Linked DNA regions of Oreochromis niloticus. The protein of the gene in region 4 interacts with the protein of the main gene of each other region in a pairwise test. Links are inferred from orthologs where the notes say so. Each region holds a gene or a part of one and is shown on either strand. Other genes may lie near its edges. The genes, in order: meox2a, nmnat1, ndufv2 and ccnc.

Region 1 (7,400 bases), on a different chromosome or scaffold from region 4:
CTAAATTCAGGTTTCGCTCAAGTTTCTCGTCCAGATGGTGAAACCTAATCAGAGCTCTATCTCATGCAACAGGCAGTGCTCTGATATTTAGACAGCTGACTGAGTCAGCAGCCTAGTTAGCCCCAATAATCAGCGTGATTGGTGTTAGCGTTGGGAGAATGCGCTGCACATGTAATGAGTATGCAGTGACTATTGTTGCAGAGGAAGTGGGATCTGGAGGCAAGGGCTCAGTTTTCCAGTGATTTGACAAAAGAGGAAAGGGAGTAGGAGGTAGAGTGATGAATTAATGGGTTAAATGTACTATTTCAACATTTTGCATGTGGACAACTGGACATTTAGTGCAAAGGAAAATAAAATGTTGAAATCTGTCATTTTATGTTGTAAAATGGCAAATATTTCAGTTCACTTATGGAGTTTCTAATAATCACCACGGAATTTGGATTGAAAGCTAAATTAGTGCCAGTGGTGTTTTTGTTTTGTGTTATTATTTAAAGTCAGTCTAAAGTTAATCCTGTTATATTTCCCTAACTTTTGGTATATAAACTTGTTGTCAGCTACAGCAACACCCAACCAGTCAGAGGGGGAAGAAACACACTCTCCAAGTATCCTGTGGAGATGTGGGAATATCACCGGTCAACTGCAGATGATGCACTGCGAGTACAGAGACCTTATCCAAAGGGTGCAGGATTAGCAATGACAGGCTGAAATCCTCAAATGGACACAAACTGGCAAGCAGACTTTCTATGAGAAACTCTCACTGATATCACTTTGCTAGTGAGATTTCTTGCGACTCGACCCCGGCCATTTATCATCGTGTGACTGATTATTGTGGTGCCTGCAGGTTGCAAAGGTTTTGCAGGTCATCAGCTGCTTTATTATCAATTTAAATATAGTATTAAAAAGGTGTTTATTTATTAATGATTTGTGAGAAGTGTGCTTTTTATAATTATCTGTGGTTTTGAATTTTTAAATACATTTGTATGAATGAGGCCCGATTCAAGAGCAATTAAATGATTATACATGCATAATTTATGGGTGATTTTTGGGAGAATCACAAATGTAAAATTTAACAAGAAGGTGTGTTAAAGCTCACTGCCCTCGGGAGCTTTACTGTCCTGAACAACTGCCTGTAGATAAAAATAAAGGAAACTTGTAATGGTCTTTTAAATTTTGTAGGAATTAAGTGGCGTGTTTTTTTTGTGATAATAAGATCATTTAAAATAAATGAAAAAAGGTCAAATATTAATATGATTAGCTACATACATTTTGTAACAGTAGTAAGTTCCCTATCTAAACTTGGCCTTTGTTAAACATGACACTACAAATACTTCCCAGTCTTTCATTTTACTTCAGTAAACCTGAGATTTCTTTTAACTGCAGTTTTTAGTAAATGAAAACAATTTGCGTCCGCCCGGTTGTTTAGTGTGCCATGAGGCACCGGTGTAGTCTTTTACAATCCATGACATTAATTCTTTACTGCCCTCTTTATTCTCAGCTCTCTAAAAAGTGTTGCAACAAACCAGATGTGATTTTTAAACAAAACATGCCAGTAGTCAGATGTGCCTGCACACTTATGATGTGGCCTTTGCTCCACGCTTCAGTCCGCCTGTCGCCTCCCGCCTTGCTGCGTGTCAGCCGGCACCTACAAACCGCTTTCCAGACGTTTTTTTGTTTTTGTATCAGAGCTGCAGAATTCCCAACAGTTGTGCTGTTGAATGATTTAGAGTGATGTGTACAGATGTTTCTGTTATTCTTGAGCTCTGTGTGGAATTTCTTAAATGCTGATATTTATGTTAAAATGTTTATCCAAGTAAAATAATGAACAAAGACATTTTAGAAATGCCTCCAAAGTATTTTACATGAAGTCTCGGGTTGTGCAATGTGTCAGCTTTAAAAAACACACGAATGAAATCTCTGCCTTCAGAACTGCTTCACTTATCGCTTCGGAAAATCCCAGCTTCTCTTACCTGAACTGTCACTTTTCCTCTTGCCGTTTCTCTTCTCGGCCTCAGCAGGTGACAAAGTCTGTCTGCCAAAGTCTGCAGGCACACAAGAGGCCCCTGTAGGGGTGCTGCCACTGCCTAGACTGGGGGTGCTGGCGCACATACTGGGCCCACCGGGGTGGCCCAGGTCTGAAGGCGTGGGCCCATTGTCGTGAGATGAGTGGGAGTGTGGGTGGCAAAGGCTGTGGCGAGTACTGCTGCCAGGTGACGGCATCTGCGGGATATGCCAAGATGTATGGTGCTGAGGTGGGTGGTGATGCTGCTGGGAGGGCAGGTGGCCGCGGTGAGGGTGGTGGTGGTGCTGCCCAGGAAACAGGCTGTCGTCACCCGGGTAGCTGGAGATGATACAGGGCGAGGGTGAGGAGGTAGAGGAGGAGGACGACGAAGAGGCCAGGTCAGGGTAGGAGACATGGTCCGAGCGTCCGTGAAGCGCCAGAGGAGACTGGGTGAAGGCGGGATGCAGGGCCTGCGCCGGGGCGTGGGGGCTCCGCAGGCAGCCGAACAGTGTGTGATCCATTGTGTGCAAACACACACACGGCCCTCCGGGAAAGGTGAGAAGGGCAAGCGTAAGAGGCAATGTTACTAAATCAACCAAAATCAGAAAGATCACAAGCGCATATCCAAGATGCTTCCCTTTCTTCCTTGACTATCCCAAAACTTTTCTCTTCAGTTAGGAAAAAATGGTCAGAGCAGCAAGTAAAATGTGTTTTGAAATGGGTGTCCTGTGGTAATCCAGAGCATGCGGCCAGTTGCCAGGCTGTACAGGATAAACAGTTAGCCCAGGACAAGCTGCAGCTGAGCCTCTCAGATGTCAGGAGGAACACGGGACTGGAGCTCGAGGCTGGGAGCAGAAGGAGGTTCCTAGGAACTGCAGAACGAGGGGAGCCAGCGCAGGGGATGTTATAAATAGGGTGTAACGTGAGAGGGAGGCTGGGTCATAGACTGCATACGCGCTACTGACCACATACATATGATCACCCTCCAAAAAGCACAGCATAATAAATCTGTACTATTAAAATGGCTGAGCCTCAGGAAAGAAGGCAATTTATTTTGGACTTGGATCTGACCTCGGGTGGCCATCTTTTTTTCCTACAAGAAAACAGCCTTAATGGTTCATGGGTGGGGCTGGGGGAGGGAGAGGGAGGTCGTATGAGGGGAAGGGAGAGAGTGTGAAGAGAGAGCGAAGGAGAGGTGTCAGAGGTTAACTCAGCGTGTCACCCCATCTTTGTCAAAAGTTGGTGGTAGCGGGCAAGGATGCTTGTAGCGTCCATTAAAGGTCACTTTAAGCCATCACTATCACGATCATGTGATGTTAAGAGAGCTATTTTGTCACTGCAACGCAGACTTGCAACTTATTGGAAACAAATATTTTGGAACCAAACTTTTCATAAGTGAAAGGAAGGCTAACGTTTTGCCCATGCTAGACTTAGAATGACCACGGTTCCTTTTTAATGTAGTGTAACCAATCATTTTGTGAATGTGACTTTTTTTGGAAATGGTGTTTATCTCATTTTGAAATGAAACACATCATTAAACCGATATGGATACATTTCGACTTTTGATACGAGGTCGTGAAGGTCACAAATCTGCTTCCTGAAATAACAAACTTTATTCCACTATTTTTTATCACCAATAATTGCTGTGGCAAATGTGGAAATGCTATTTTATACAATTGTAGATGCCAACACATTGTTTTTATATAAACTATGCCTGTAACAATTTCTATTTATATATATATATATAAATTAAATATTAGTATGTGGAGCGTATTCGTGTGTAGAGAAGGAAATGAACAGAAGGAAAGTTGTTCATAAATTTTTTGCTCCTAACATTAGTGTCTCTCTTTAAATTTGTTTGGCTATAAAAGAAAAGTCATTCTTTGTGAGAAGTAGGGGGAAAATAGCAGCTGGGAAACAGCTGTGAATGTGTCACTGGTTTCTCTTATTTTCTCTAATTATTCATATCCAGAGCTCAACTAAAGCTCAAATAAAATCAAATAAAATTCATTTATTTTTCTCCTGTCAACCTCATTTAAGACAGAAAGTCTTGGAAGAAAAAGATGAGACATAATAATGATTTGTAGCTGTATGGTATTGACCTAATGGGGGAATTATAAAAATCTGGTTCTATACAATTACATTTTCTTAGTCACGTAATTTAAAATGTAACACTTTGTGTGATATTGATGGTTCATATAATAGAATTAAATTGTAACTTAAGTGTTTTACATTTTCGGTGAAATACAGATGAATGATCGTCTGATAGATATCTCCTTTCCTTCCTATTTCTGTTTTCTAAAATTCAAAAGCACACTTGCACACTGCCCGCAGTATGAAATAAAAGAATACACAGGATAAATTAAATCAATATAATCTATAAAACAAAATTAAAAGTCAAAGCTGCTTCAGAGCTTTCATGGCTCGGCCAGGTTTTAGAGGGAGACGGTCACGATGACTCCACACTCTAGGGATCCAGTCAGGCTGTGCCATGGGGCTCTGTGAGCCGCCTGAGAAAGGAAATTAATTCCTCTTTGAGGGAAAATTACTTTAACAGATAGCATGGCGGAGGCAGGCTGTAACTTTGCCGCTGTCGCTCCCCCCCAGTCCCTCCAAAGCCTCTGAAGGCAGCAGAGGCAGCGCAGCAGAGGAAAGGCACCTTAGGTGAGTGAGTGTCAAACTCTTCTACTGTTTATCTTACAAATTAAGGCTATTAGCAGGTTAGCCCAGGCTATATATTTGCTCAGGGCCTTGAGCAGGTATTACTACACACGTGTTTCCAATCCTATTGCTGGTCTCGCTACACCGATGGCCTGTGGCGTGGGTGTTTTCAGTCGGTCCGAGTCTTTGGCCCTTGTGAGCTTTATGAGGCAAAATGTTCTTGTGTGTGAATAAGTGAGAGAGTGTTGGTGTGTAAAATAGGGATACATTCATAGTTAAAGCCGACATCTTTTATTGTTAAAAAAATGAAGGATCAAAGAGTCTTATTGCCCTCATAAAAGCAATTAAATATTTTACACATTTTATATATTTAATTAGCTTCTCTTTTTTATAAATTAAATGTAATCCCTGACACTGGTTACATTTTGTGCCTTTAAGAGCGCCTAACCCTAAAAGTAAACGTCATTAGTTTGTATTCAGTGAAGATATTTAGTGTCACATGATGGTGTAAATGCATTTTCAAATGTGTTCGAACTCTGAAATTTTAAAAAACCCAACAACTCTTATTTGGAAATAAGAATGATGATATTCTGAATACTGGCACAAACCGTGGTGCTGTAAATCCACCGCTACCTGTGTTGGCCTCCAAAAGCACACATTTGTCTGACTTTTTATGTGATGACATGTGACATGACGTTTTAAGGCGAGTGTGTGTGTAAAGCATAAAAAGTTCAAAAGAAGAGGCTACCAAGAGGCTGTGTTTGCGATGATCTTAAAGCGGGGCTCGGGGCAGCATGTTTTCTCTGCAGTACACAGAAACTGAAGGTAAAAGACCTGCTGCTCAACCTGTGGCTGTCAGTCAGTCCCACAGGCAGGACACATTACAGCAACCACAGCTCAGTGCCACCGTCACCAAAACAAACATGCAGCTACCACTTTACTCCTTTTCTTATACTAATTTAAAGAGTGTGTGATGGTGTTTAAAGTTAACATCGTCATTTGCTGCTAAATTACCAAACTTTGTCTAATTGCTGAAATTTTACCAGCCAGCAACAGTGAAAGTTCTGGCTTTTGCTGAAATGTAAAACAGTGAAAAAGTATATCTGCCTTTCTTTAACATGTTATTAAAATTTCTAAGGGTTCTTTCTTTTTTTTCTTTTCTTTTTTTTCTTGTAGGCAAAACACAAAAGAGAGCAAAAATTAGAAGAAAAGAATAGAAGGAAGCTGTGTAGTTGGATTTAAAAGCCCCTGAGAGCTTGGAAGGAAAAAATCTTACCTGGAAACGCAATAGGCCAATACAGAGGTACTACACAGATAAGCACACAAGCAATGATATGATCAAAAGCAAACAGAGCAAACAAAAATCCAACAGAGGCATAAAAGAAATAATGTGTTGAAAGTGTGTTGTATGCATTAAAGAAATGAAAAAATGAGAGAAGGGTAACGGTATGTTTTCATATTTCCTTTATTTAGCATGTAAATGAGCCTTATATGGCACCTGGCAGTGAACAAAGATGTTAATATATTTGTTAATATGTAACAAATATGTTATTATGGGGCTCACGTTCAAACACAAATTAGAAAAACACAGATGTAATAATGTAAAATATCTTTTTTAGGAGAAGTTATAATTGCTGCCTTTATGTCCACATGCAGCAACTTTAGAGTGTGTTACAAAACACTATATATTTATATACTGCATTTAAAAAGAAATCTGCTGGCACACCAGCTTACCAGACTTTATGATAAAACTAAATCCTTTCAGTTATTCTTGCTGCCACTTGCTGCACTCACATTCCCAAATTTAACGGGCCCGGATGTGTAATATGCTTCACTACAGAAAAGCTTTGATGCCGGCTCTCTCGGCTTCAGAGTCTAATATGAGCATTTAAAAAGGCCCAGTGTGTGTGTAATCAGTATTAAACTTTTTCCTCTTGTTTTAGTCTCCGGCTAATATGGAAACATTTCAGAGTGTATAACACTCAGTGAGCCTCTAAAGCGTGCAGCGAAGTACGGACGTGATAACCGAAGTGTCTTTGTAAATAAGTAGAAACCTGCAGAAGGTAGAACACTGATTTCTCCTTACCCAAGATGGAGTGAGTACAGTGATTTTTATTTAAAAATAAATTTTATTATTATCCCTTTTAATAAAAATTGCAAGCAAACGTGTTGGAAGACAAGCAATTTTCACGATTGTCATCAATAGAAAATCCCTTTCAAATTAGTAGCAGCAAGTAGTTTTTCCTCATTTTTGTCAGGCTCCGTAACTTGAACATATTTTTAGGACTCAGATTCTTAATAAGGAGGCAATACTTAAATGTGCTACAGCTTCGTTGACAAATACCATATCACACTGAGCTGATTTTGTGAGTAATAACAGAACAGGGACAGTGGCTGTGTCGGGATGAATGTATGCGGGTGGTGTGGAAACTGTCGTCGCTGCTCATTTCCTTTCAAGCTTCAGCCGCAGATTTACAGCAGTTGTCAGGAATATTGTCCGTATGCAGGATCGCGGGATGTCAGTGATATATGATGAAGAGAGACAGTAAAAGTTGTCTCCGTTTACAGCTCAACTGCATAAAGAGAACGGCAGCCCTCTCAGGGAGTGACAGTAAGACAGCATAAAGAAAAAATTGTGACGGCTTTAAAATCATTTTGTCATTTTCAATCGGACTAACTCTGGCTTGAGATGGGAAAAATACATTTGTGTTTTTACTCACATGAGATTCGACGCATTTCT
Region 2 (7,178 bases), on a different chromosome or scaffold from region 4:
TTGGTAGTTGTCAGTCAGCAAATGAGTGCTCCAAAATCCAATTCTCATTATGCTAAACGCATTTGATCTTATTATTAAACTGCTTTTGTGCCTTTTATGGGGGGTTTTTTCTTCAGGTCTGTGAGGCTGCAGTTGGGATACTATTTCAGATTCTTTACACCATCAGCATTTAATAATTTCAGCCTTCACCTTAAATAATTATGGAATTTTGATTGACTTTGTCTGATTCTATCTTGTTTGAACTGCACCTGCAAAGTTCTGGGAAGTATTCAGCAAATCATAACATGTATCAAGTATCATACCAGTAAAGGCTCTCACATTTCCTGACTTGCATTTCTTCCTTTTCCTGTTGCCACGAGAAAACAGATGACAAAGATTCTAAATAATGATTTCATTTATGTGAGGCATAATGATGTTAATTATCTAATATCTAATTAAGCCTGCACAAGTTTAATTTTAATCCCTAAGGTTTAAATCAAACCTCCATAATGGATTTTGTTACTTTAAGAATTAATTTATCTAGAAAAGGATAAAAAGTTTCAAGACATGTGTTGAAAAATACAGAGTCTATCATTCAGCAGTGTGTGAGCCAGTGTAACTGCAGGGAGTTTGACGCTTTGTGTGTAAAAATAGTTCATACTACATGATGCAACACACACACACACAAACCAAATCTAAAGAATTCATAAATCAATTACCATTAAGGTTCCCAGTAATTATCTACATCACATGTCATTTAAAGATGCTTTAGGTTTAGGAAATCAGTATTTTAATAGGTTTATTACTTGCAGTGATAATGTTAAGATAATAGAGAAAGAAGTGCGCAGCTTGGGGTGAGTCAGTAATAAAGGTGAATCAGAAAACAACAGATAACAAAACAGTAAAGGTCACAGGTAGTGTCACACAGTTTTTGTCTCAAGACAAACCACATACACCACACAAAAGCACTCCCAGCACTCAGACGCAAGAAATGCCAACTCACCGAACTACTTTAGCTGTTTCCACCCACTCTGGCTGCAAACTCTCCCAGGAATCCACCATAACCCAGTCTGAGCTTTCGGTAGCCAATCGGGTCATCTCCAGACGGTGGCAGGCTTCAATCAAGCCCTTTTTCTTATATGCATCACCCACTGGAGAGATGATTCCTCTCACCACCTTATACTGACCTTACGCACAAAAGAAGACATGTGTTTAAGTACTGGTCAGGTAAAATATTATATTTGACCCCAATTATTACTAGTTATTACTAGTACTTTTCCTACAAACATATACAAAGGTCATTACAAGTTTGCAAAATATAATAATAAGTGTAAAATTTGCATAGTATTTGAAATAAGTTCAGTTTTTCCTGCATAATGTATTTTCTTTTAATTTTTGAGATGAATTATTAGACTTTATTGGACAGAACAGTAGAGTAGACAAGAAATGACACATGGGAAACTGTCTGAGCAGAACAGAATCCAGAATCAAAGAAACCAGCATTTACTGAATAAATAATTGGTTGTAGCTCGATAGTGTAGTGGTTTACACATTAGCCTAACAAACAAAAAGATCCCTGGTTTGATCCCAGGAGGAGACACAAAGGCATCCAGTGTAAAGATCTGCCAAATCAAAATATGTGGTGAAATGCAAAGTGATTCCAGCTGGAGAGAAGTTGGGGGTTGGGGTTGGGTCAGGAAGGGCATCTGGCATAAAACTCCCAAATGAAACATGAGGCACAACCTAATAGTGTCTATTAATAATGCAATATTAAAATACTGCCAGCTTTTCTGTAGTGTCATATTAATCAATTTACAAAAGCATAATCCCTTCTTGAACTAGACTATAGGTATAACAATTTTATCCAAAACACTTGTCTCTCCAATGTACTGATTCACAATCCCTTTTTAAGACAAAGCTACCCATTTCACTTAATTTTTGCCTGTCCATCCATCTTCCTCTGTTTATCCATTTCAGGATTGCTGGGGGTTGGATGCTTATCCCTGCTGTCATAAAGCAAGAGGGTACATCCTGGGTAGATTGCCAGTCTGTTGCAGGGCTAACATATAGAAACTGAGAACCCTTCATGCTCACATTTACACCTACAGTAATTTTAGAATCACCCCATGCATGTCTCCACGTCGGGTGACTGAGGGAGAAAGCTGGAGTACCCAGAGAGAACTAACTAAATCTAACTAACTAAATCATGATGATAATATTTGAGACTTTAGCCTTTAGAATAACTCAGTTGAAGAGCATGGAGGGTAACTGAATTAAATCTGTGGTGTTCACAAAACTTGGGAAAAAATTAATGAATAACTGATAAAGGTGGAGATGCATCGCAATAAAAGACCCAATTGTCATGTAACTCAACCTGTGTCTTCCAGGTGATCTCGAGCCAGTTCAAACATCCTCATGTGCATGTTGGTGATGGGGTTGAAGGACCCGCAGGCCAGCAGGACCACTTTGGTTATACTGTGACCCTCCATGGCTCATACTGGACCTGGGTTTGCACAAACAAGGAGAAGAAACGAAGACAAATTAAACTTGGCTGATCACATGTCAAGAATCGCTTTGTGGGGGGGAGGAAACGGTATATTTGTATCAAGAGAGTAGTTTAACCTCGTTTAAAGTTAGAGTCTGTGAGCTTCATTAACTAATTAACTACAAATGTAAAGAAAACTAAAGCTTGACGCTTTATCTTCGTTAAACGTTAGCATTCGACTATAACAAGTAGCTAACTTTAGCTTATCTATTGAGCACACAGCTCCTTTTCCATCAAAGATTCACGTACAGGACCCTTAAACAGACAAAGCATGAACTCGGTGCTTAACTCAAAAACAAATTATGCGTTTTTAATATAATGTCAAATATTGTAGTACCAAGAGAAACGGCCACAGATACCATTTGTGTTTCACCCGCTTCCTGTTTTGACGTCACGGACTACGCTGTAAGATCCCCTAATCTGATTGGACACAATAGACCAGGAAGAGGTGAACCGCACCCGCTCTGGTGGTGCTGCGTTCACAATCACAAATTCCCCAAATCCCAAACGTCTCGACTAATAGTAAACGTATTATAGCCGTGTTTTTAAGTAATTTTTAAATTTTCCTCTAGTACGGCCACCTTCTTTACGACAAACTCTTCAGCAAATGCTAACATTCTACTAAGGCTGATTTGCAGCTGTTTACAAAGAAAGTCCCGGTAAGGTGTTTTCTTTTAGCATGCACTCTAGCTGTTTAGCTAACAAAACAACTTGGACTGTTTGCATGAACTTCCAACACACAGATAAATTTATCCTGTCAGTGTAGTCGCCAAAGAGACTGTTAGATCTGATAAAATGTTATGTATTTTTCCACTGACTCCAACAGCTCTGCACTCATCGAGTGGAAATAGCACGTTAGGTCATCTTTGAGTTATCTGTGAAGTACCTCAGCAACAAAACCTAACGTGATCTGTTGTTTGGTGCCAGTTCTCCCAGTTCCCGTAGAAAAAATAGGATTTTAACTGAAGATGGCCTCTCGAGGGAAATCAGAAACTGGAAAATTGAAGCAGAATATGGAGGAACAACTTGACAGACTAATGCAGCAGCTTCAGGACCTGGAGGAATGCAGGTGTAGTACAGAAAAAGAAAAACAATAAACTCCTCCTGTGTGCTTTTTGTATATGAAAATCTGGCATGCAGTACCTGAAGGATAACAGAGAGAATAAAAACAGTGGGTAAATAAATGCTTCTCTATTCTTCTGTTGTGTCTCGGTTTTCATTCCTTCATTTGTTTATTCCAGAGAAGATCTGGATGAGGAAGAGTACGAAGAGACAAAGAAGGAAACTTTGGAGCAGCTGGGTGAATTCAATGACTCCTTAAAGAAAATAATGTCAGGAGATATGACACTTGTGGATGAACTCAGTGGGATGCAACTGGTATGGACAATTAATGTGCTACTACTGTGTATTAGGAGTGCATTAAATATGTTATAGCACATTGATTAAGAAAACTGATGATTAGTAAAATATCAGAACGTTCAGATGTTTCTGTCTTCATCAGGCGATCCAAGCTGCCATCAGCCAAGCCTTCAAAACCCCGGAGGTGATACGACTTTTTGCTAAGAAGCAGCCAGGACAGCTGAGAAGCAGACTGGCAGAGGTTTGCAATGTCAAATTTATATTGTATAATACACACACACACACAGAGTGTGGTAAGAAGTTTACACACCCACCCATGTGGATGAATATCATGTTAATTTTGGGCATTTAATGATTTCTTTGATGTTTCATTTTTACTTTCTATATTACTTCTTTTTTATCTTTAATGACTTGAAAAAACATGAATTGTGTGCACAAGATTGAATTTAATTTGGATTTTCTCTAAACCATACAGGCTCAAACATAAACATACACCCCCACTAATATTTGGTTAAATTGTCATCCCCACTTTTGGATAACATCAACAATCTTCTGGCATACTTCTTGCTGGATATTTAACCGATCTTCTTGGCAGTGTTGGCAGAATCCAGTTAAATTGGTTGGTTTCCTGGCGCAGACACGACTTTTAAACGCAGTCCATACATTTTCAACAAGGATGGAGTCGGGGCTTTGGGAAGGTCATTCCAAAAGCTTAATGTTAGCCTGTTTTATCCAAACTGAAACCAGTTCTGATGTGTATTTGGGATCATTGTTCTGATCATGTGTTGTGTTCATTTGAGGTGAAGTTGAAGAATTGAGGTATTCCTCATCCTTCATTATTTCATCCACTTTGCACAGTGTACCAGTGACACTGGCAGCAAAACAGCTTAGTTAGTAGAACTTAATTTTTTCAAGTTAAAAGACATGTAGAACCTTTAGCGCCACTTATTAAAAGATTTAAGTGAGCGTATGTCTATATTTGAGCCTATTATTTTCAGCCTGTGTGGATTGGAGGAAATCCCCCAAAAATTCAACGTTGTTTTAAAATTCTTCTTTTTTAATATCATGAAAGATGTTTGCTGTGAAATTGTTTCACTCTGGAAGAACAGTTCAAAGAAATTATCAAAAGCCCCAAATTGCCACGATTGTACGCAAATTTCTGACCACAACAGCAGAGTTCAGTCACACCTCAGTGTTTATGTGGAGATTCATTTGCCTGACAATTTCCCAACCGGTGTGTGACGTACTGTGCAGATGGACCGCGATGTGATGGTGGGAAAACTGTCACGGGACGTGTACACGCAGCAGAAAATGGAAATCCTCACTGCCTTGAGAAAACTGGGGGAGAAGGTGAGGAGCACTCAGAGCACACATGATTAGAGTCTAGGATGATTCAGCGGCTTGTGCCACGTAAAGTCTGAACTGATTCATTTCAGTCATGCAGCCCTCACTAGCTGCCTCGAAATGCCTCAAATGTTTCCTTTCACTCATGTTGTAATTACGTGACAGCTCACCCCAGAAGACGAGACTTTCCTCACTGAAAACGCCACAGCGACCCTGAGCCAGTTTGAAAAAGTGACTGCAAACCAAGGTGAGCATAAAGGTGATTTTACTACAAGACAGATATTTTCTCACATATTTCTGTTGACCTCATTTTGCCTTCCTTTTTTCAGGGTCTGAAGACAAAATAATGGCTTTAGCTAGCTCTGGTGTGAAAACAAAGTCATAGCAGTTCTGCAAAAAAAAGTGTGTTTTTAACTAAGACAAAAATGTGCCATCCAATTATGGATTTTCTAAACAATCAGTGCGCTTTTAAGTGCTACTGCAGACGCTGACACTTTTTAACAGTATTGTTTTATATGTACACGTCAATCTTTGTAAATGTCTTTTAATCGTCCAGATAAAGTGTAAAAATGTATTTTAGGTACGAGCGTGTGATTTGTTAAAAGGCGCGTGAATGTAGAGGACGGCGCAGACAGTTTGTTATTATGATCTTGTGGTTTGTGCAGTGATTCTTTATTCCAAAATTTCAATATTCAACATTCAACAGTGCTGTTTTTATGATGCTGATTTCCTTCAGGGTGTAGTTTTATTTCAGCTAGAACTGTGCCGTCTGCAGGACTCTGGATAAAATAATAGAAACACTGCATGTGTCAGAACTACAGCGCTTCAGATGATCGGATCTGCCTCGATTAATATGTACACTATAACCAATTTACAATTGCATTTATATATGAATACATTTGTAAACCACTTGTGTGCCGATGGGATGTAGAGTCTGATGATATCTTTAGTAAAACTTGACGAGTCTTTGACCAGTTTAGTTGAAATGTGCTGAGTCTGCAGGGTGGATTAGAGCAGCCGTCGTCCAAGAATATGAGAATCATAAAGTTTTATTAATAGTGTGGGTCTTCAGTCTGTTCATGGAGAAAATACAGAGAAAATACAAAGATTTTACAGGATGAAGTAATGAATTGAGAGGCTTTACCACTATTCAGTGTCACTTGGGTGTTTCCATTATTTTAATGAGTCCTCTATGCATTTATTATCATGTAATTCAAACTGATGACTGTAGTTTCATATTGACAGTGATGAAGTTTGATAGTTTTTAAACTCGCATCAGAGTCTGTGTAGAAGTGAATGTCACAATGTTTACAGCATTAATCTTGATATTCTTGCTACTTTTAATGTGAGTAAAAAGAAAACTAACAACAGGCTTCGTGTTTTATTTCCCGCCATGTACACTCACCTGCCACTATGTACACCTGTTCAGCTGCTCATCAGCATTAATATTTTATCAGCCAATCACATTGCAGCAACTTAATGCATGTTGGCATGGTCAAACAGAGTACCAAAATGCAGATTTAAAGTGACTTTGAAAGTGTCATGGTTGTTGTCTTCAAACATTTTGGGCATCGAATAAACACCACAGCTTACCTGAGTATTACTGCAGGCCATGTCCATCACTTTATGACCACCGTGTATCCGTCTTGAATCTTTGCCACAAAGAATTAAGGTAGTTCTGAAGGCAAGGAGGGTCCAACTTGATACTAGCAGGTTAAGTCTAATAAAGTATCTCATCAGTGTGTTCACTGTTACAGTCATGGCTGCTCATTTTAAACACGGCCAAAGTCTGAAATAATGAGATCGGCAAACATTCAAGTCGTCCCGGAGTGCCTAAAGATTTGGCTTCAAACTGCTCTCAAGGTTCACTTCAGACATTTTTCAAATCTTGGCTCTGTATGATGTCACTGAGAGTGGGTATCATAAATATGCTCTCAGCACAGGAGGCCCA
Region 3 (7,095 bases), on a different chromosome or scaffold from region 4:
AAAAAAAGATGAATACCCTAATTTAAAATTTTTTTGAACAGGAAAAAAAAAAGATTTTTCAGTTTTGTAAAATTGTTGCATATGGTGCAAAGTCATAATAGTACTTACCACAATAGAGTGAACAGCACCTATCCTGGCACAGGCCAGCATTGTGTACACAAGCTCTGGGATCATCGGTAGGTAGATAGACACTCTGTCTCCCTTTTTCACACCTTAATAAAAATATATATACATATAAAACAAGTTACTACCACTCTGTATCTCTGAAACTAAGTTTGTCAGCAAAATCTGTAAAGGTATACTTCTGTATTATAATCATGGACTAAATAATTATGGACTAATCATGGACTAAATGGCCATAATCTCAGGTTCTCACCCATTTGCTTCAGCACGTTAGCACAGCGGCAGACATGGCTCAGCAGCTGGCTGTAGGTGATGGCCATTTGATGATCAGGTGAGTTTCCCTCCCTGATAAGACAGCAAACAAGAGAGAAACTTTCAAATGTATAAATGTATTACAAAACCTGTCTGTGATTCTACAGAGGTCTCTTGGTCTGTTTTGGTAAACAATTGCACACAAAAGTACTTTCCCACTTTCCCCAACAGTGTTGTCCGGTGAGTTCTTTGAGTTCACAGTAGAGATAACCTGTTCCCGTTGTTGCTAAGTCTATATCAGGCTTGGATGTTTGTCAGGATAGTTATTTGGAAAACAATTTGGCACACTTGAAGGGGCAGCAGAAAGCATGGTACCAAGCCAAATGGGAATGATGAAATAAATGACTGCAGAGATGAAATTCTGCAACTGATAAATGACTTCAAGATGTGATAGAAAATGTTGTAACTCAGCTCTGTGTGAAATAGCCTGCATATATGTTGTCAAAGTCTTTATTTATTTTTTGGAAAATGTACAGCAGAGCAAACCAAATTCAGTCATGGCGTTCCGCAGGGGTCGATCATGAGACCTCTTTAATTCCAACATTTATATGACTCCACTTGCAAAAATATGAGATAATCAAATTTCCCATATTTAATCTATACTGATCTATACAAATACTATAGAAGCAGATTACTTTTATATTAATATGTGTTTATTTTTGATTTGTCGCTTAAACTTCTTTCACAGCCCCTGATTTTTGTTGAAATGGGACTCTTTGCAGCATTTTTGCTGTTCTATTTTTTTTTTTTTTTTTGGCATTGTTCTACCACTTTAGACAGTTGTGCAAATTATGCTTGGACAAAGCGTGAGCTAAGGTCCCATGAGTGATCGACTGTTGCTCAAAACAAACCATGTGGAAATTGATAACTTGTCACCACAGCTGATAGTTATAGTTTCCTTACAGAGTGTACTAAAATAGTCATGGCAAACACGTAAGCAGGTATATCATACAAGTGCTTTGTTTTAGTGTAAACAGCATTAATGCTCTCCTACAGGTGATTTCCAGTATGCCAAGTTCCACTGAACCCTTATATTGCTGAGCATGCAGAACAACCCTCCTGTTTGCTAAGCTTAAACAGTTGACAGAGCAAATAATAACTGTCATAATATAATGATAAAACATCATAAAGTAGAGGCTTTATTGTAATTTGACAAGGGCGCGGGGTGATCAGCACGCAACTGCAGGTTCAAATCATTTAAATGGCTTAAAATTTAAAGCTAGAATAAGTTTAAAAATGTAATGTGTGTACATTCATCTATCAAGTGAAGTTAGTTGCTCTAGTTAGACTTTTTGTAGTTGATTAATCAAATAGAAATAGAGTTTTGCATTATAAAAACAATAAGAAATTGTTAGACAGATAGTGTATAAAATCTGTAAACTGTTATCTTCTGCTTCTGACAGGAAGAAGAAGCACTGCTGTAGTGATGTGTGCTGCCTGTGGTTTGTTTTGGTGTTCTGGGGTCAGCACAGGGGACACAGCAGTTGTTTTTGACTGGAATACTTAGCATAACTCCAGACAGCGTTTCCCATCATAGCTATTATTTCCTCTGGGGGCATGCTGGTGCTTACCAGTAATAGGCAACCTTTTCACCAAGGCTCCCCTCCCTCACATGTCTGTCCAAGACATTATAGCACATGTTGGTTTTGGCCCCCTCCATGCATTTCACATAAATGCTCCCTTTCGTCACATCGAAGTTGTATTGCAGCACCGGCTCTGTTGCAGGCTTCTTCCAGAAGAACTCATCAGCAACCTCTTTCCAGAAAGCTAAAACAGAGGATACTTTTGATCAATGTTATGGGATGCAGATAAGGCAGATTAGCACAAAGAGATACTGCATGCAGACAGGCTCAAAGGGATATGAATGGCAAGGAAGCACTGCAAGCGCTGCACTAAAAATACAGACAAGTTTGACCTACCTTCTGGATTCTCCAGAGACTTTTGGTACAATGCCAGATATGAGTTAAAGTCGGGCACATGAGCATCCTTCTGCAGGTCATTAAGAGGGTAGTACATTTTGTCCTGAGACTCAGGAACAACCATTTTGGAAGTACAGATGCAGACAGGCCTATATCATCTGAGAGTGAGTCAGAAAATGGTATAATCTGAGTCCCTGCTGGTCTGTCTGAATCCTCCTGGGTGAGGTAAGAACACTACAAGGCCTGTACTGAACCAACACAATTCAGCATGCAGAAAGACCCACCCTAATCCCTGATCTGCAGGCTCTGGCTCAGTCTGCTTAGAGTCAGGGCAGCCAATCAGCTCATGGAGTGCAGCACTCCCACTTTTTCATTGGATGAGCCATCCCTGGCCTGCTGATCACATTATGTTTCTAAGCAAGTGGGTGGTGGAGGAGGACAAGGAGGCGGTATACCCCCAGCAGGATAAATGCTGGGGATTCAGGCAAACATTTATTTTGAAAGGAGGAGGCTGATGGGTGCTCTTGGTGAAAAGAAGAAAATAATAATAATAGAGACGTATGAAACAATTATTCACTTTCAGAGTAAACAAACAAACCCTGCCCAATCCCCAATGTATGTCTGCTATGAGAGACAGCTCCTGAATCCTTTTAACACTAACATTTCATAAAACTTAGTCTTTTAAAAAATACATTTCTTATAGAAAAGCTCACTGTAAAACCCCTGCTTCCAGCCTGCTTTGCTTTAATTCTCTGACATTGCAAACATTAAAAATAGCACAGTTAAAAAATACCCTTAGAGAAAAGAAAAAAATATTCCACTGACAAAACACATGTGAAAAACTTAAAAAACAAAAAAACAAATACAGAAATAATAAAAATATTTTATACTCGGTAGAAAATAAGTTATAACAATTTAACCTGAGACAAACTATTATTCGCAATTTTATAATGTCCGCTTCTACTTTCAGCTGCTCCCTTTAGGGGTCGCCACAGCGGATCATCTTCCTCTCACCCTATCCCTCCTATGTCACGTCAACATTCTCCCTGTCCTGTTTCACTGCATCCACGAATCGCTCTGCTGATGCAGTGATTTCCAGTCTTGTTAATCCTGGTCACTCCCAACGAGCATCTTCAACTCTGACACCTCCAGCTCTGCCTCCTGTCTTTTTGTTACAAGCACCGTCTTCAGATACTGCAGGTCTCACTACAGTCTTTTTCATTCGTGCACATGTGTTCTATTCTGACTATAATTCATTTTCCCTGGAGTGCATACCTCCACTTCTCCAGGCTTTTCCCACCTGCTACCAACTCTCACTACATCAGAATATACGAAGACTCCTGACCTCTGTCTGTCAACCTGTTCATCACCACAGCAAACAAAAAGAGGCTCAGAGAGATCCCAAAGGTAATCCCACTAAATTTATAGCAGTATTTTTACTGCAGTATGTTGTCTTTTTAATGAGCACTTTTATTAAAGTAATATTAGATATTAGTTAAAAGTTTCTTGTGAAGCATTTTGTATAATTTTGTTTGACCGTTTTTACTGCGTCTTTATTTCTTGTACTCTGTTATTCTGTTATCATATTTTAAATGAAAATGTTCAATATATATTTGCATAATTTTGTTTTTTGAATGTAGAAGAAATTTTCGCAAACATTCAACGTTGATTGACTTTGAGCTCCAACTTGAATCTGGGATCGATTCAGCGCAGAGACGTACAGACGTCACGTCGTGCTTCAGACAGTATGAATCGAACCTGAGCGCGCTTGTGTTGATGTCGGCTACCGCTGTCCCGTTCATTTCCTAACGCACCGGGACCAAACTTCAAGCGACAAGATGTTTCTGTCTGCTGCTGTTCGCTCTGCAGTGTCGCAGGCGGTACGGTTGTGATTTTTTTATGGTTCTGGGGAAAAGTTTGGGTGCAATTTTAGATAATTTGGAGAAAAAAATGCTATGACTCTTCACAAGGGCATGCAGTGGAGGCCGCTCAGCAAAATGACGTTGGGTAACACTAGCATGCTAGCTAAATTAGCTTTCTGCTGTCAAACTTTTAAAAGGCGATCGCTGGAAAAATGGGCAGCGAAAGGAAAACATACGCGTTAGAATGGGTTTTAGCAGGCTCGTTTACATGCAATTGGCTTTAACTTCACCCTATATAATTGCTTGCATGGCTACTGTAAATTCACAGTATGGCAAAACACAGCAATATGAATCACCTCATATTAATCTAGCTGGAAACTTGGATCAGATAACACTGTTTGCGATTTACATAAAATAATGATTTACATAAAAGTGGCTCTGCACAAGAATCGTGAAGTTGTTTTGTTTATAGTAACAGCTTGCGAAAGCTTTAGATCCGTTAAATATCAATTATACTGTGCAAAGTTTCTACTAGTAAAGTAGTAAAACTGCACATTTGTTACTGTACATGTACTTAAGCTATCCAAAGTAAAAGTATTCACTATGCAGAATGTCACATTTCACAGTCATACACATTACATCGTACTATCAGATCATAAATATTGATTATATAAGTATAATCAATCCAACATTGCAATTGGGGCTCATTTTAATTGTTTTGTATACAGCTCTGCAGCTTAAACTTTAATGATAAGGCATAATTTGTTACAAGATGTGTATTTAATATTATGGTGATGTAGAATTATTCGCAGCTTAAGATTTCAAGAAAATTCAGTAGTATAAATGTAGTACAGCAAGTAATTTCTAAATATAGTGGACTAGAAGTAGAAATCTATAGATTTGGGGTTATTTAGTTTTCGTAACTTCTTTCGGACCAGTGGGAAATGTTAAAATATACACTAAGAGGTTTATTTTACACAACTTTACCCACCTTTACGCTATTGTGTCATACTTTATGTAAATATGATTTTCCAATAAGCATTTTAGTGGCATTTTACACTTCACAGCTTTAGAGGAAGTTTTCTCAAAATATTTTTTTTCTAATACTAGAAAACAAAAATCTTAACTTTAGGCTCAAACCTTCCATTTTATTGCTGTCTGTATTTTAAAGATTTATTACTAGTATAGTTTTTACATTGAGCCAGTCAGTCAACAATTACCTACAGTCTTTAGTCTTGCAATCTTTGGATCATTGATGTGAGATTAATATTTTATTATGTCTAAGTGCATCAGTTCTGTTTAAAATATGACTTGAAGGAGTTTAATCTACAGACAAATAAGACATTTAGAAAACTAACAGATGATCTTAAATCACAATGTTAATTTGACATCTGCAGTTTCACCCCTTCCAGTTCCTGGTTCACTTCAAACTTTTTTACTCGAACACCTGTATTAATTTACCAAGGGCACACATAATTTGAAAATAAAATTAAAATAAAATAGAAATTAAGTTAACGTTTACTTCAATATTATCCTAGTTTTACATAAAAACCTCATGTTTTTGGTTGCACCACCTGATGTTTTGGGTTTTAGTTATCGCTGAACTAACACAACTTCAACTTAGGTCTTAAAGAATGAACTCCTGCAAGTCATGAATTGGATTCATTATTTTTAACATATGCTGTGCACTCAAAAGTATTGCATGTAAGTGACATGTTTGCTGCAAGAAATGTTGGCATTTGAGATCAGTTTGAATTTAGTTCCATGACATCACTAGGTATTTTACCTGTTTTCTTCTGTTTTGCAGGCCAGGAGTCTGCATCAGTCTGCTGTACGTGCTGGAGCTGGTGGCATTTTTGTGGTGAGTGGCACTTTCTGTTCCTCAGTGCACAAAATGTGTAGAAGGTGACAGACAAAAACAGAGAGTACATGCGGATGCTGTACAGGGTTTTTTTTATACTTTGTGTGAGCTCATCATGGTAGGTTACTACAGATCAGCAGCTCATGGAAAATTTTGTAAATTACAGCAACAATTTGTAGTCATTTCTAATATTATCTATATTACTACTAAGTTTAATTGTTACTGTTCATTTTTCAACTCAGTCAGTCTAGCTGTTACTATGTCACACTAACATTGTTTTTTTAAAGTTACACTGGGGCAGAAGTTCACTTACTTCTGCAATGTTTGTCTATTATTGAAAAATGAATTATTCATGTAAATACATTTTAGAAGGGTTAGGAAAAAGACTTGCCGATGGGCTTCATAAAACAGGATTAAACAGCAACACCATATCAGCTTTCTTTACTTGGTGTATGCATAAACAAATTTTCACAAGCATGGACTTTAATCATGAAACTTTTAGAAACTGTATTTGTCCTAGCCTTGTCTTATTTCAAAAGTGTATTCTGTCTTAGTGAGTGCTGCTCCAAAACCGGGGTTACACAGGTCACGGGAGATGTGGGAGTCCGATTTGCATGTAACAATTGAGGCAGAACGATGGTCGGAATAATGCCAGAAATGTTTAAATGTAACCATATCAGATACAGACTGACCCATTACAACATTCTCCATCAAACTTACATTACGCCACAAAAATTAAATAAATATAAACCAGTTTCCTCTTTGAGGAGCGTTTGTGTTTTTGCACAAAGGTAAAGGCATTCTGGCATGAATTTTCCAACATTACGTCAAAGGTTTTAGAGCTACTCTTTCCATTAGATCCTCAAATATGATTATTAGGGGATTTTAAAGGTTGGTACCCAATTACGAAAAAAGCCAACAGAAGTTCCTGGAACTGGCTCTATGTGTTGTTAGAAAGTGCATAACCATTATGTGGAAGTCTGACTTCCAACTACCTATTTTTAGATGGATCTCAGAG
Region 4 (7,048 bases):
CACTGCTGTAACAGCCAATAGGATTTCTGTTGAGAGTCTAGAAGAAATGCTGATTAAACAGTACAACCATGACTTAGTGAAAGATCAGAGAAGCAGACTGAAATATCAAGAGGGGGATCTGTGTTTCATGGATATTGTTAGTAGCTCAATAAAACTTATTGGAAATTATTATCACATTGATTTGCCTTTCAGAAGAGAAAGTCCCAGCTTACCAAATAACCTCTGTGTGGCGAAGTAGCATCCCCAGAGTCTCAGACTGAGATTTGAAAAGGATGCTTGCTGTAAGGATGAATATACTGCATGTGTAAACAAAATGCTTAAACAAGGATATGCTGAATTTGTGCCTGCAGATGAGTTGCAGAAAAGTGATGAAAAGGTGTGGTACATTCCTCATCATGGAGTGCATCATCCCAAAGGGCAAGGAGAGTTTTATTTGACTGGAACAACTTATAAAAAGGAGCATCACTGAACAGTCAGCTTCTACAGGGACCTGATCTCAGAAACTCACTGGTTGGAGTTCTGATCAGATTTAGACCAGAGTCTGTTGCTCCGTTTCCTGTGGTGGCAATATGGTGACACTACAAGGCCTGCACAGGAATACAGGATGAAAGTACATTTGTTTGGAACAGCATCTTCACCAAGCTGTGCAAATTATGCTCTACAGAGAACTGCAGATGAGAATGCACAGCAATTTCCAGCTGAAGTGGTTGATCCAGTCAAAAGAAACTTTTATGTGGATGACTGTTTGAAATCTGTTGCTTCTGAAGAGGAGGCAGTGCACATGGTGAAGCAACCCCGAAAAACACACACACACACACACACACACACACACACACACACACACACACACACGATTTTGACTGTTTCTTATAGACTTTTACTCACTGAAACCGGAAAAAATATTTTTAAAAATTCCATCGTGTCAGGTTGTCTTGCAAAAGTCATGTTTAGTGCAATTAACTGTACAATTTCCCCTTTTAAGCTGAAATCTGGCATCCTACTTGAGTCAAAGTAGGATGATTTCTTACATGAATTTAATATTTCTAAACGCAAGACTGAAGAGAAATACAAATAGAAAATGCTCAGACGATCATGTCCGGTTTCATGTCCAGGTTTATTTTGTTCATAATGAAAGGCAAGGAATCTTAGGAAAATTATGCCTAGGTAATTGTAATAAAATATTTCTTTCATCGCTGTTGTGCTTTTTGTAAACTCCTCGTGCAAAAAAAAAAAACAAAAACACAAAAACAAATAAACTGTACATGATGGATTGAGCACCCTAAAAAAAAAAAAAAAAAAAAAACAACCACACAACACACACAGACTTTACCAAACATTATTTTGCAGGCCTGTGTAATTTGTGTGCCTTTGATGTAGAGCACCTGATTATGCTGTAAACAGTTTTAAATGGTGATGAAAAACAGCTGAGACATTGGCTGCATTTTTAGGTAAATCGTTGCATTTCAGTTTGTAGGTTTTTAAAGTTTAAATTAAAATAAACTAAAGTTATGAAAAGGAGTCGTTAAACCCGCTTGTGGTTTTTGACTGTTAAAAAATAAATAAATAAATAAATAAAAACTCAGATTAATTGTGTTAATGCATTATGTCAAAATGAAAAATAATCACTTTAAATTCAGACATGTGAGGTTGTGCCAAAAAGAATGATACCAGACAAGGCCAGATAAACGCAACACACACACGGAGGTAAAATCAAAAGTAATCCAAAACCGGCCAATTATACACTGGACCCCAGAGGGTCCAATGGTTTATCGTTTGGCAGGAAACAACGAAACATAGGGGGAGTTTCACTGTGCAGGATTTTCTGAAATGGAGCCTAAGGCGGGGACTGTGTGATATGATAGCGGAGTTTGCCTTACTTGATTCGCAGCAACGGAGAGGAGGGAGTCGGCCGTTTGCAGGCAACAGAGGAATATTCCAGAGCTGAGTAATCAATGGCAGAGAACTGGAGAGCAGGCAAGTGAGTTCCGGTTCTCTCTTTTGCAGGAGTAGAGAGAATGAAGTATGAACGTGGAGGTAGCAGTGTATGGAACACATAACCTAATGGAGACAAATCAGGTGAGTACGGAGACAGAGGAATGAACCAAGGTGCTGTTACTAGGGAGATGATAACAGAGTTACACAGGGAAATCACAGGAGAAAACAAGGTAACAAATGTGATTTACCGCCATAGATGAGCAGATGATCTGGTGAAAAATGACCATCCCCAATGCGCCTAAAAGCTGCTGCACTTTAAATATCTTTATAAACCTATTGTTATATGCGTTGTAATTTCTGCTATCGTCTTGGCCAGACTACTCTTAAAAAGACTTAAATGCCAATTACACTATTTATCTAGTTTACAAAGGATTTATAAAAGTGCCAAAAACTTTGCAGCTTCTTCCTTGCGATAGGAATGTTGTTTGTGGCTCAAGATTACTTGATATCTTGTATCGTTTTTGTTAGGACTGATGGTCACAGGCTTGCTACGGTTTGTCATTTCCCTTCATCAAGACCAGGTATTTAAGGAGCACCTGTGGCAGAAGTTCTCTGCCTGAACATTTTTCCTCTACAGCGGTAACTCAGCCAACCTTCGTGTAATTTAATCCAGCAAAAGTAACCACAGTTTCCCTGGCAGTCCTCCTTGTGTTTCCTGAAGTTCAGTCTTCGAGTTGACCCTTCCTCTGGAAAACATGGAGAACCAGCAATGGTCGGACTCACACTTCACCTAGATATCTGCTTACCTTGTAATGCTGAGGATTGGATCCGTTCGCCCTCCACGACACTAAGCCTAAGGCTGCTCATCTTTAGTCAGCCACCTCCTTTGCCCCCACTCACACAAGTCAGCTTCTACTACAGTGGGTGGGGTAACTGCAGAGTTACTGTAGTTTAGCATTCTCTTCTTTTTTAAATTTAACTTACTTTCTAATGTGACCGTTTATTTCAGCTTAGTTTTTGTTTGAATTGCTTTCATTTAGTTTCTATTAGTGTCACTGTTAGTTTACTTCAATATATGCATACTTGCATGAACAGTTCAGCAAAGCCCCAAACACCGCACAGGCTCATCTGGGATTTGAACCCAGTACCTCTCACACCCAACGTGAGAATCATGGCCCTAAACCAACAAGCCACAAAAAAAAAAAAAGAAAAAAAAAAAAGATTTTTAACAAAATTCATATTTCCCAACTGCTAGGAGAAGAAGGCATGAAAGATTGTCTTAAATGCTCAGAAATAATATCAAGTCCATTTGATAGTAGTCTATTTTTCTTCATCCCAAATTAACTGCTTTGTGTTTTGTTCTTAGACTCTAGAGTAGCTTTGAAGGACTCTTTTGGAGAGACAAAAGGCTGCCCTCAACAAAGAGACACTCATTTAAACCACTTTAAGATCAGAATTATTACAGAAAAGTTAAAGAAAATACAGATGCAAAAAAGTACAATGATGCACATAACAAATAGAAAAATAAAATGACTGAAAATAAAATTTGCAGTTGCTCTCTTTCTTAACACCGTTTTCATGAAACTAAACAGAAATGAACTCATAAGCTTCATTTTCTCAGCTCTGAGTGCACAGTGAGTGACTTCTCTCTGCTGAATTTGCAACAAATATAACTGTTAGTGTGTTTGAACCATTCAGGCATTACTATATGTGCTCTTAAAACCACTAATTCGCGCTGAATGTGGGTTTCACCGAAGTAAACAGTCTGAATCTTTGTATACATAGAGCATTGTTAGTAGATCACATCATAATAATTTGTCTCACTTAGTGAAAATGTCTCATAACACATCTTATTTTCTTAGTGCGATATAATTTCACATAAAATTGTCACAGAACTAAGAATAACAAAATAACCTGAGCATGGTGAGCAGAGGGAAGGAACAGGAAACCAGGAGGCAGGAGAAACGCGAAGGCAACATGAAGGAATGACACACAAAAACAGACCGACAAGGAACAGAAGGAAACACACACCATAAATACACACAAGTAAAGAGGGAAATACGCAACAGGAGGGAGACACAGCTGAACCTAATAAGACATGACGAGGCAGGGAGGAAGCAAAACACAGTACATTGACACTGGATACAGACTTTCAAAGTAAAACAGGAAACACACAAAGGCAGAGACAAGGATGACAAGGAAGACACAGAGAACACAGGCTGTGTCCCAATTTAGGGGCTGCATCCTTCGGAGGACCGGACCTTCGCGGTCCACGTGGGCCGGGTCCTCCGAAGACCAAGAAGGCCGGAAGTGCAAGGCTTGTGAAATGGGACGCTGCTCAGGTTGCCTAGCAACCATGATACAACCATGATAAAAACGCTTCATGCAGCATTGTTTGACAGAAATGAGGGAGACTTTTTTTTGTTCATCTCTTTGTTTTTATATGAGCTTTGTTTGATTTGATAAGTATCTGAGGCTGAGACAACGGGACTGTAAAAACATGATTGTTGGGCTTCATTTCTGTACGGAACAGTAATTTTAAGATTAGCTATTAAATAACAATTAGCTAATGTTGTTCATCAGACTAAAGTCATCTCACTTTGGTAATGTTACTATAATATGGCCAATATTAAATTTATTATTATATTAATCATTATTAGTTATTACAGCAGTGAGTTTAAACTCTGTTTCAAATACTGAGCTTCAGTAAAGATTCAATTTGTAGTTATTTATATTTATAGTATATATAATAGTATATATATATAAATATTTATATGTATATGTACAAGTATTATATATAAGAGACAAATATTGTTCTTTTAATATGTTGGCATTACTAAATTTGTCTGAATGTTTACATATATGTGTGAAAAGAAAATGTACGAGCTGTGAGAACTGTTTCTGATAAAATGAAGAGTACACTGATATATTAAATGTGCCTTCATAGGATGAGAAAATCATACCATGTCATAACTGCTTTAAGTGATACAGAATAGATATCAGAGCCTTAAACAGGCCGACTTCTGGTAAATGGGTCAAACTGGGCAGAAAGTATACAAACACATAGCATCCTCATAGAATATGATGTAACACTATAGATCAACTTACCTCAAAATATATAAAGTATATAAACAATTACAGCAATATGATGCAACTAACACAGCAGTAATACTAATCCAAAATACTCAAAGCTTCATAGAACTGAAAAAAACTGACATTTATTTTTAGGTACATTCTGCTACTGATACATACTTTAGGTTTCTGAATAGTAAACTTGTTAGTGCCTTTCATAGTGTTTAACTTGAAGGTCCTGAGTACTTACTCCCACTTTGAAAACACTTGAATGATAAAATTATTTTAACATTACCTAATAAGACTGATTCAGGACAGATAATTAGTTATTTTAAACTTTTCTGTTAGTCCTTCACACAGAGGGAACAGTCTGTCAGCTGGTGCCGACTCTTCTTCAGACACTGCTGAGTTTGTCCTGGTGGATCATCAGGGGTGCAGTCTCACAGATCATCTGCAGCAGTGGGTCCCTCAGTCTGTCCTGACTCTGGACACTTACAGTTGTCACACATGGAAATCAAATGTGTGATAACCTGCATGTATTTATAAGTTACAAGTGTAACTTATAAATACATGTTTTATTATCCAGAATGTTGCAAACATAGTTGTGGTTTTCATTTCAATCATAGAATTCTATCAGTGTTACTTCACTGTAATTAAAAAAACCCCCACTCTCCTCTTTATCCATTATTTAATTCAAATAATAGCAGCAAAGCCGATTCAACAGTCGTTATGTAAACTTACATGATTTAATGAAAATGAAGGGAATTATTTAAAATAACTGCTCACAAATATCTGGGACCAAGTGAAATGACAACCCTCTTTAAAACCAGTTGTTTGACTGTTTGAATTTTATGTATACACACACACAACTCCCCCAACCTTTATTAATTCCCCTAATGTGTACCCCATCATCAGAGTGACAGTAATACAAGGAAAATAAAGACAATATAAAATCATTTGGTATCACCTGACTTCAACAAAATAAAAATAAAAATAAAATAATGATCAGCAATTCTGTAATTCTGATTGATCAATATGGTGTGTTTGTGTGATTGTGCTTCTAATGCAATGGTTTGGGTTCATCCCCAACTCCTCCAGCAAGGCGATACACAGCAAGGCTGACTTCGTGTGCCAGGGCGTCAGCACTCTCCTGAAACAACACAGAGAGCCAGAGTATTATTCACAAAACAATTCCCTTCCAGATATTTTTTAACCTCAGTAACACTGCCATGAGAATCAATAACAGAGAAAGCTTGGAAAATAGATTTCTCACCTGCGTGTCTGCCTCTGCGTATACTCTCACCACATCCTCGGTGCCGGAGGGCCTCACGAAGGAGCGAGCCTGTCTGTACTTCTTTACTAAATTGTCGATGGCCTCCTGCAGGCCTGCTGGGGTCACCGCCCGCCTCTCTGCATCTGTTGTGTCTATCACCCTGCGGTCCGCCACCTACAGAAAAAAAGAAAAAGAAAAAAGATCACCCTCAGGAGCCACTATCTCTAACTGGCTTGAAGTAGACACAGACACTCTACTATGTGCAGGGTTACAGTACACAAATGTTTATCTAACAAAATAAAAGCCTCCTTAGTTTGGGTCGGCACTGCTGTAAATTAAATGTAAAGTGCTGTATTTCTTTCTATCACTCACACTTTATATCCTGGATATAATACATAACTATACAATATGAGCACCTTGACTTTAAGTTGCCTGTTTGGCAGGTCGGTATAGATGGTGTCCCACTGCTGGATAGTCATCCCTTTGATGGCTAGTATGGCTTCAATCAGCAGCATGTCAGAAATGGCATCTCCTACAGTCTTTAAAAGAAAATATCGACGTTAACAACAGAGCTCCGGTGTCTGCATGAGCTCAGTTCAACACGGATGTCAGTGTGAGCGTGCCTGGTTGATGACGTTGATCGTGTTTCGCAGCAGGAGAGCTGCTTTCTTCCTCTTGTCGTTGACGTTTGTGTCCTCGGCCAGCTGCTGGATTTTCTCTTCAGCTGCCTTGCTGAACAACACCTGATCCAAACACAAACAAACACAG

What was found.
Region 1: the proteins of ccnc (region 4) and meox2a interact in binary tests that used the Homo sapiens proteins (3 or more experiments, as listed by UniProt). The two-hybrid records come from large-scale screens. The link is inferred for Oreochromis niloticus from reciprocal best matches to the Homo sapiens genes CCNC and MEOX2.
Region 2: the proteins of ccnc (region 4) and nmnat1 interact in binary tests that used the Homo sapiens proteins (3 or more experiments, as listed by UniProt). The two-hybrid records come from large-scale screens. The link is inferred for Oreochromis niloticus from reciprocal best matches to the Homo sapiens genes CCNC and NMNAT1.
Region 3: the proteins of ccnc (region 4) and ndufv2 interact in binary tests that used the Homo sapiens proteins (3 or more experiments, as listed by UniProt). The link is inferred for Oreochromis niloticus from reciprocal best matches to the Homo sapiens genes CCNC and NDUFV2.

Annotation. Positions count from the first base shown.
Region 1 is NC_031976.2:32,487,978-32,495,377, reverse strand, and holds the start of meox2a (homeobox protein MOX-2), read right to left. Parts: upstream 3,022-7,400; 5' UTR 2,521-3,021; coding exon 1,968-2,520; intron 1-1,967. UniProt on the Homo sapiens protein: Mesodermal transcription factor that plays a key role in somitogenesis and somitogenesis and limb muscle differentiation. Required during limb development for normal appendicular muscle formation and for the normal regulation of myogenic genes.
Region 2 is NC_031984.2:22,077,650-22,084,827, reverse strand, and holds the start of nmnat1 (nicotinamide/nicotinic acid mononucleotide adenylyltransferase 1), read right to left. Parts: upstream 3,021-7,178; 5' UTR 2,884-3,020; exon of another isoform or gene 2,862-2,883; intron 2,483-2,861; 5' UTR 2,469-2,482; coding exon 2,354-2,468; intron 1,167-2,353; coding exon 983-1,166; intron 1-982. Other genes in the region: protein LZIC, read left to right, coding at 3,493-3,593, 3,766-3,901, 4,026-4,124, 5,138-5,233, 5,393-5,474, 5,557-5,612.
Region 3 is NC_031982.2:24,772,313-24,779,407, reverse strand, and holds the start of ndufv2 (NADH dehydrogenase [ubiquinone] flavoprotein 2, mitochondrial), read left to right. Parts: upstream 1-4,070; 5' UTR 4,071-4,192; coding exon 4,193-4,234; intron 4,235-6,023; coding exon 6,024-6,077; intron 6,078-7,095. Other genes in the region: acss2l (acyl-CoA synthetase short chain family member 2 like), read right to left, coding at 109-212, 377-468, 2,007-2,202, 2,355-2,478.
Region 4 is NC_031980.2:6,953,199-6,960,246, reverse strand, and holds the start of ccnc (cyclin-C), read right to left. Parts: upstream 3,027-7,048; 5' UTR 2,803-3,026; coding exon 2,742-2,802; intron 2,059-2,741; coding exon 1,878-2,058; intron 1-1,877. Other genes in the region: pgm3 (phosphoacetylglucosamine mutase), read right to left, coding at 6,068-6,157, 6,281-6,454, 6,697-6,819, 6,904-7,023. UniProt on the Homo sapiens protein: Component of the Mediator complex, a coactivator involved in regulated gene transcription of nearly all RNA polymerase II-dependent genes.